Rattus norvegicus: one gene and its partner. The protein of the gene in region 2 purifies or fractionates together with the protein of the main gene of each other region. This does not show direct contact. Links are inferred from orthologs where the notes say so. Each region holds a gene or a part of one and is shown on either strand. Other genes may lie near its edges.

The links.
Region 1: the proteins of Lrp6 (region 2) and Axin1 purify together in Homo sapiens (affinity purification with western blotting; 7 studies listed by BioGRID and IntAct, with this or other methods). This does not show direct contact. The link is inferred for Rattus norvegicus from reciprocal best matches to the Homo sapiens genes LRP6 and AXIN1.

What each region holds. Positions count from the first base shown.
Region 1 is NC_086028.1:15,670,755-15,674,562, reverse strand, and holds part of Axin1 (axin-1), read right to left. Parts: intron 2,664-3,808; 5' UTR 2,598-2,663; coding exon 1,705-2,597; intron 1-1,704. UniProt on the Homo sapiens protein: Component of the beta-catenin destruction complex required for regulating CTNNB1 levels through phosphorylation and ubiquitination, and modulating Wnt-signaling.
Region 2 is NC_086022.1:169,128,765-169,133,338, reverse strand, and holds the start of Lrp6 (low-density lipoprotein receptor-related protein 6 isoform 2 precursor), read left to right. Parts: upstream 1-1,622; 5' UTR 1,623-1,908; coding exon 1,909-1,963; intron 1,964-4,574. UniProt on the Homo sapiens protein: Component of the Wnt-Fzd-LRP5-LRP6 complex that triggers beta-catenin signaling through inducing aggregation of receptor-ligand complexes into ribosome-sized signalosomes.

The DNA of each region.
Region 1 (3,808 bases), on a different chromosome or scaffold from region 2:
TAAGGAGTTTCTCTTACCACATATTAGCCACCTGAGCCTGAAGTCAGTGCCTCCCCCATCCACATATAAGGTGGATGGACACACACACACACCACACACACGCACCACAAATAAGTGTAAAAATACCTTTTTTTTTATAGAGAAAGGTGAAGAAACAAGTTTCAAAGCTATGCTCTCTTCTGGAGAGCACCATCATGCTGCTCAAGTTGCATACATCAGAACACACAATCAGAACTCCCTTCAGCAGATCACGCCATGGAGGGAAAAGGTCCAATTCTAGAAATCCAAGCACAGCCATCAGGAGTTTCTGAACCCTCCAACAACTGTCTACACAGACTAAACTGCCCCACTACTGTCTCATCCTCCAGAAAGAATCCAAAGTACTGACTAAAAAATTAGCAAGATGTGGAAGGGAGTGGAATGATGGGTTAAAAGTTAAAAGTATGGGGGTTGGGGATTTAGCTCAGTGGTAGAGCACTTGCCTAGCAAGCGCAAGGCCCTGAGTTCGGTCCCCAGCTCTGAAAAAAAAAAAAAAAAGAAAGAAAAAGAAAAGTTAAAAGTATTTGTTGTTCTTATAGAGGGCATGAGTTGATTACCAGCACCTATGTGGTGGCTCACAACCATCTGTTAACTCCAGTCTCAGGGGATCTGGCACCCCCTTCTGGGCAGCAGGCACATACATGGTGCACATACATATGCACATACATACATACAAAACACTCATCCCCATAAAAAAACTAAATGAATCTAAAATAAAAATAAAGTAATTATAATTGTCTATGTATTTGAATGTATTTCCCTCTCATTATTAAGGGTTAAGATCCTTCTATGCAAGAAGACATGAATTTTGTGCTAAATGGTAAAGTTTAAACATTATGACTTCTGGGTTAGAGAGATAGCTCAGTGGTTAAGAGCACTGATTGCGGGGTTGGGGATTTAGCTCAGTGGTAGAGCGCTTGCCTAGGAAGCGCAAGGCCCTGGGTTCGGTCCCCAGCTCCGAAAAAAAAAAAAAAAGAACCCAAAAAAAAAAAAAAAAAAAGAGCACTGATTGCTCTTCCAGAGGTTCTGAGTTCAAATCCCAGCAACCACATGGTGACTCACAACCATCTGTAATGGGATCTGATGCCCTTTTCTGGTATGTTTGAAGATAACTACAGTGTACTTATATATAATGAATAAATAAATCTTTAAAAAAAAAAACAAACCAAACCATTATAGCTTCTAAGAATTCTCACGCTTCTAATAATTCACAAGCCATATGCTTATAATTCACAAAGCCCTATATTTAGTAGTACACGTGTTACTAAAGAGGGAACTCAAAGAGTTTCCTCCATGCTATGCAAGAACTCTCCTAAGCCTTTACTCTTTTTCATTTTGAATCTCTACAAGTTGCCCAGAATGACACACAATTTTTCGATTCTCCTACCTCAGCTTCCCAAGTAGGTGGGATTACACCTGGCAAGTCTTGTTTGTTGCGTTCTCAATGCCACAAAATATAAGAAGGTATCTAATAACAAGTATGAAGTATCTAAGTAGGAAATAAAACTATAATTCAGCAGCAGCAGCAGCAGCAGCAGCAGCAGCAGCAGCAGAGATCTCAGCTGGGGTTAAAAACAAGGCCACCTGTTACCAACACCTTTCCCTCGCTCCTTTGCCAGGTCTCTGAGCTGTGTAGAGAAAATGGACACCCTGTGCCGAACTCACCTGAGCTCTCTGCCTTCGTTGTACCGTCTACTTGAGGGGGCCCTCGGGGCAGCAGTCTCCAATAGCAGCTTCTGGGTGAGCCTGCTGGGGGGGACAGAGTCTCGGCCATCATCCTCATCTGCATCTTGGTCACATTTCCATTCTTCATCTTCATTCAAAGTGGGCAAGTATCCAGACATGCCCTTCCCTGTCCCGGACCCTGAGCTCTGGTCACTGCAGACCTTTGGACTTTCTGAGCCTGTCCTTGTGTACTCCAAATAAATGTCAGACTTAAGGAAGGAAGGGTAGGTGTTCTCCTCCATGGTGGACTGGATTTCTGTCTGTGCCTGGTCAAACATGGCAGGATCGATCTGCTGCTTCATGACGCAGTCCTTTATGAAGCTCTTAGTGGCTGGCTTGGTTTGTCTGGACACAATGCCATTGCTATCCAGGATGTACTTTCGGTAGATGGCTCTTGCCAGCTTCAGCCTCTTTTCCTCATTTGAGTCACAAGGCTCAAGCTTTCTGAAGCCACTGCAGGCAAACCAGAAGTCCAGCAGGTCAGCACAGCCCTCCTGCTTCAGGAAAGTCCTGAACAGGCTGATCCCATCTTGGTCATCCAGTAAGGAATGCAGTGACTCAGCCCACCTCAAGTATGGTGGGGTGGGGGAGGCACTGCCCTCAGGCTCATATCCCAGATCCAGATCTGAACGTCTTGGGGTGGCTGTTGAGGTCTCACTTTTAATGCTGGTACCTTTCCCAGAGCAGAAACTGTGGTTGACAGGCCTCGAATCAGTGGATACCAGTTCTCCCTCTTCTCCAGGCACTGGGGGCCGGGGGGCATCTTCGGTGAAACTTGCTCCGAGGTCCAAGGGGAAACCCTGCTCCTGGACATTCATTTTGGGACTCTGCATCAGTGAACAATGAGCGCTGCACCCTAATACCTCAGTACTTACAGCTCCCAAGGGAATCAATCTCTCCTGTTAAAACCATTAAGAGGACAAGGATTAGGAAAGGTGGTCCATGGAAACACCAGAGGTTCTCTTGAGATGTGCAGGGATGCCCTCCCACTCCCACTTGGAGCAGAGACTCAGTGCAGACTTCTAGCAGAGACATATTTTGGCCACAATTTTTGCTCTATCATTAAGGCAATTTCTGGAACTTTTACAAGACTGCCTCTCACACTAAGTGAAAGTCTGGATCATGGGGGACATCTCTCCTTCAAAGGATGCCTTCAGTGGTAAGGCCTGAAGATCACCCATCCTGGCTAAAGAAATGAATGTCAAGAGGACAAGAAAGCTAGAAAAAGGTGCCTCTGTCCCCAGTCACCAGCATCACATCAGTCAGTTGGTCCCTCATCCATGAAGACAATCACCACACTTGCCCTAGTGACACTCAGAAACAAAGAAGAGGCACACTACAGATCCTCAGGTAGACAGGCATAGGGCAAGTTTAACAGAGTCTCTATTTTCTGTCTATTCTATTATTTTTCATACTTGGCATGCCTTATGAGCAACCACACAGCAAGATGTCCTTCCAGCTCTCAACAAGTAAGAGATCAAGTGATCATAGGCTGGCTACCTTGCACACCTTGGACCAGTGATGGAAGAACACAGTCCACACTCAGAGGCATCTATGCATTGTCTACACAGACAACTTTAGAGATTCAGAAAGCTGTACTTGGCTGCTAATTTCTCTCTTACAAGAAGATTCCCTTCTGATAGCATATGGTGACTTTGGAAAGACAGAAAAGGTACAGAAAAAAAAAATCAGTTACAAATACAAGTATGCTTTTTCAATAAAGAAGCATACAAGAAATGTGATTTAGCTCCGCCAAATGAAAACTGTACCACCTATACCTTTGTTGCCGTGTGGGGTGTGCAAAAGGGAGCAAATTTGTTCAAATTTGGATTGGACCCTGCTATGATCTCTGGTCCTTTCTGCTACATCTGATATATCTCAACATATCCAAAGGGGAGACAGCAACAAAGCCCCAATTGGTCCCAGCTAAAGTGAGCTAGAGAGGCATATGTCAGGGTCAGGTAACCGGAACAAAATGAATCCTAAAAACAAAAGACAGGCATCATGGTTCATGCTTGTACTCTCAGCACTCAGGAGACTGAGG
Region 2 (4,574 bases):
ATCGGAGAGGGTGAGTATCACACAGCATGTATCATGTAAGTGGAGGCCAGAGGACCATTTGAAGGAGTGAGTTCTCTCCTTCCACGATGTGGGTCCTAGGGATTGAACTCAGGCTGTCAGGCTTGGTGACAAGTGCCTTTACCCACTGAGCTAACTTGTCAGCCTTCCCCGCAAACATCTCCCAACACTCTTGTACAATCCTCCAAGCTGGTTGCTTCAGGTTCTGTTACTCAGGACTCGAGTGGCCTTGATAAGTCACTGAGTGTCTCAAATTCTCATTTTCTTCATGTGTGCCAAGGGGATCACAGAACAGCCAGTCTTATCTCAGGTGAGCTCCGAGTGGCCCATCTGATAATGTGCTTGCAAGTCCTAGATGAGCCCCTACCCATTTGCCTTCAGAAAAGGTGTGTGAAGGCTGGACAGAAGGCAGCTAATGGTTTTCTTATGGTTAATTCTTGGAGCTGGCCAGCCTAAGGCAGAAGCTGGCCAGGTGAATGCAGAGGGCATCTGGGCCATTACTTGGGAATGCCCACTGCACTAGTAGTGGTAGAGGTTGTTGTGGGGGCTTTTCTTTTTTCTTTTCCTCAAACTTGTAAACCCACTGTCCAACAGCCATGTTTTATTTTCTCTTTGCTCTTAGGTACTGATGCCTTTATCTAAGGATTTTCTCTCTCAGTTTAGAAAGCTTTAGTTCTTGTCAGGTTAGTTCACAAAAAAAAATTGTATTTCTTGGAAGACAAGTTAAAAAAAATTCTGTTTTTTTCTTTAATTTTTTTCTTGCATGTAATGACGGATACAATTCAAGCATGTAATTTTTTTTTAAGGTATTAACCTCGATGTGTGCCTCTTCCCCCACCATTAGCTTCATTCTTTTCCCCCAGATAGTCACACTTTTATCTTTTTATCATCAATGTGTTAACTCATATATAAAAGCATTACTACACACACACACACACACACACACACCCTAGATCCGCATATGAGGGAATACTTGTCTGAGTAAACCTTATTTATGTGTATAAAAATCCTACAATCTTTGTCTATTCAAGTCTGGTCGTTTTCCCATGCGTGTGACTTTATGTGTATATGTAAAGCAGGCTCCACACTGAGAGAAAACATACTTTTTTTTTAAAAGTCTGAGTCCTGTTTATTTTACTCCCTATGATGATCCCCAATTCAACCCATTAGGGTTCTGCTCCGCGTTGGCTTCTGCACACCCTTCAACCTCGTCCGCGGCTTCGAGCGAGTGTAAGCCGCACTTGCACTTTGATTTTCCTACGTCCCGGACAGCCCGGAGCCCGCAGCTCCACCTGGCTCCGCGGCCGGGCGCACAAAGAGCGGCGCGGGCGGCGACGGGCCGGGACGCAGAAAGTAGTCCCGACCACGCCGGCCTCAGTGTCGGCCGACGTCGCCTCACGCCCTCCGCCGCCCCGGGAAAGAATCCCATCGGAATGCGCCTCGGGAAGACCTTTCCCCCTCAGCCTGGCGGGGCTCGCGAGGCCCACCTCGCGGGGGCTCCGCGGGGAGTCAGCGCGCGCGGCGGCCGCGGCTCCGGGGGTCTGGCCGCGGCGCGCTGAGGAGGAGGTCGGGCGCGCAGGGAGACGGCGGCGGCCCCGCGGCGGATCCCTGCGCCGCTGCGAGAGGAAGAGGCTGAATGAGGCGCCGCGCGGGGGACGTGGGGCGCCGCGGGAGGAGGCGGCGGCATGGGGGCAGGCGCTGGCGTCGCGCGAGCCCGGGCCGGAGCGGCGCGCTAGATCCCTGACGTGCGCCCTTTTCTTTCTTCTCCCGGCCGCGGAAAGCATGAGCGTGCAGACCCGCCGCTGCGGCGGCCGCCCCGGCTCCTCGCCCGCGCGTCCCCTGGCCGCCGGTCGCCGGTGAGGGCCGCGAGCGCGCGCGGTGGGGGGGAAGATGGGGGCCGTGCTGAGGAGCCTCCTGGCCTGCAGCTTCTGCGTGCTGCTGAGAGGTGAGGCGAGGCCGGGGAAAGTTGCCGGGGTCCGGGAAGGGGGAGGGGAGGTGGCGGGGACAGCGGCGGGGAGAGGCCTGGCGCTGGGGAGCCGCGCGAGGAAGGGGCCCGCGGTCGGGGGCCGCGCCCGGCCGCAGCGCACACCCCTGGCCGGCCCCGCGGCGCGGCCGGACAAAGCTGCGGGCCTTGGGGGGAACCCCTGACCCCCCGCACTCCATCGGAATGACTGACCGTGCCCCGCTGCCCTGCACTCCAGGGCAGAAAGGGTCTTTTGTAGTTCGCGTTTCAGCACCGTTGGTGTTGACCTCCCTCTCCCTCGAAGCCCTCACCTTTCCCGTGTCTCTTAGGTGAACTTTTTTCTTCTTCTTTAAACCCCACGATTTTTTTTCTCTCCTCTCCTCTCTAGGCCTTGTTAAAACTAACGATTGGCTTCTGTTTGGGGTAGAATGGTCCTGGGGGAGAGCACAGTTGGAAATTGACTCTAGGGTTATAGGTCGCGCTTTTCAGCATTGGGGAATCTTCTGAGCCTATAATAAAAATACAGACGTTGCCCTCGTAACCCTTGCTATTCAGGGCTCGCCCCCTGTTTTCGGAGTGTGCAAGTGTACAGTTGGCACCAAGTAGGGAAGTCATCCTTGTGTGGCGAGGAGCCTATCCTGGGAACTAAATTATCATTTGCTGGGCACCCCTGGGAACTGCTTGGCACTTTGGTAATAACAGAGAATGCCCTGGGTAATTTGCTATGGGAATCGCTTAAATGTAGTGGCTCTGGGGTGTTTGGAATTGGACGGCGAAGCTGAGACACACGTCCTGACTTTTGTTGTGTGACAGTTTGCAAAGGAGACCTTGTGGACCGGTCTTCGTCAGTTGATGAGAGATGGGGAGGTTTGTGTGGGGGTGCCGTTGAGTGTGTTACCCGTGCAAGAATTGAGGTGCTTGGTTGTCACTGTATCTTGTAGTTCGTTTTTTGTTAACTTCATTTGTGCCAGTTAATGGGACCTCTCTGGGATTCTTAGTTATTAATTTAACAGGCTAAATGTCTTAAGTCCTTCAGGAGTATGGAAGTTCCCAAAGTAGGATAGTAACCAACAATGGAAAAAAATTTTTCTAAAAATAAGCATATCCCGAATTGCTTAGTCCTACTTGTAAACACCAGAAATATAATTGCTGTCTAATTTCCACGGCAGAGAACTCAATATTATTAGATACTCAAGAGATTTAATAAGTATGTGTTTATTTTGTTACAGTAAACTCTATGCTGTGAGGTTATAATTGACACGTGACTGTGATTGACAGCTTCCTAAGGGTTAAAAATGTGGAACCAGTGGATTGATTTAGAGTTGGGAAAATCTAAATCGGTAACTTCAGATGGCTTCAGCGTCTGGAAGTCTAGTTGTAGTTCTTAGAGGGGGCATAGGGTTGTTTGTTTATTTTGATAACAGGTTTGAGTCTAGAGTTGAGTAGATTCCTGACTTGGGTTAAGAGACAGTGAAGTATGGTATTGTGTAACAAGATCAAGGAGAGGTAACTGTCCGAAGTGGAGCTTACTCTAAATGTAACATAATAATGGTAAGGAGGTCTTTTTTTTTTTTTTTCTTTCTCCCTGCTTTATTTAATTGTGAGCATATATCATTTCAACTGAAACTGTCTTTTGGTGTAAAAGATTGCTAATTTAGTCTCTTCACTTCTTGACAGTGTTAGCCTCTGTTATAAGTGACAGTCACCCTTGGTTTCCCAGGAGCAAAGTGTGATTGAATTCCTTGTCCTTCCAAGAAGAGGTGGTACTTTCTCGCATTGGGTTTGTGATGATGTGTGACTTTGGGACTTGGTCCTTACAGCCTTGTTTACTTAGCAGCAGTTGAAGGTCATTTGATACTGCCATCCTAAGGCTGCATCCCTGTCTGCAGTGACATCCCTTGTCAAGTGACAAGGTATATTGGGAAAAAATTGAAATTGGAGGATTTTAGCTCCATAGTCTTGAGTTTAAAGCTAGATCTTCATTATTCTTGCTTCTGGTCCTGTCTGTCTCAGCTTATCTATAAAACATGGGTAATGACACCTGTCTGCCTGATTTGCACGGTTACTAGGTGTGTTTAATGAAGTAACATGAAGTGCTTTCCGAATATTAATTAAAAATTGTTTTAAAGACAGGATTTTTCTGTGCTGCCCAGGCTGATCTCCAAATGCAACTCAACTGTTCTCCTTTCTGAGCCTCTTCAGTGCTGGGGTTACAGGCATGCCCCCACATAGGGCTATAACTATTGTTATTTTTATGTGTGTGTGGAATATTTTTATTTATGGATGTGTCCTCAATTGTTGGTGATTAGAGATTTAATTTAAGATTCAAGAGTGCTTAAAGTAGATGGGACTGGCGGTCATTTGTAAGGAGTTGGGCCAGCTAGCTAATGGTAGAGCAGGGATTTACTCCGTTCTCTTGGCAAGTGTGCCTGGAGTAAGATCTCCGTTCCTCAGGACAGCTGGAGTAAGGCACGCAGGGCTCTTTCAGACTCTGCAGCTTACGTTAGGTCTACCCAGATACCAGTAGGAAAAACATTATCCCTGGTTTTCTAGATGAAATATTTTTGGAAAGAACCACAGTTTTATAAAAGAT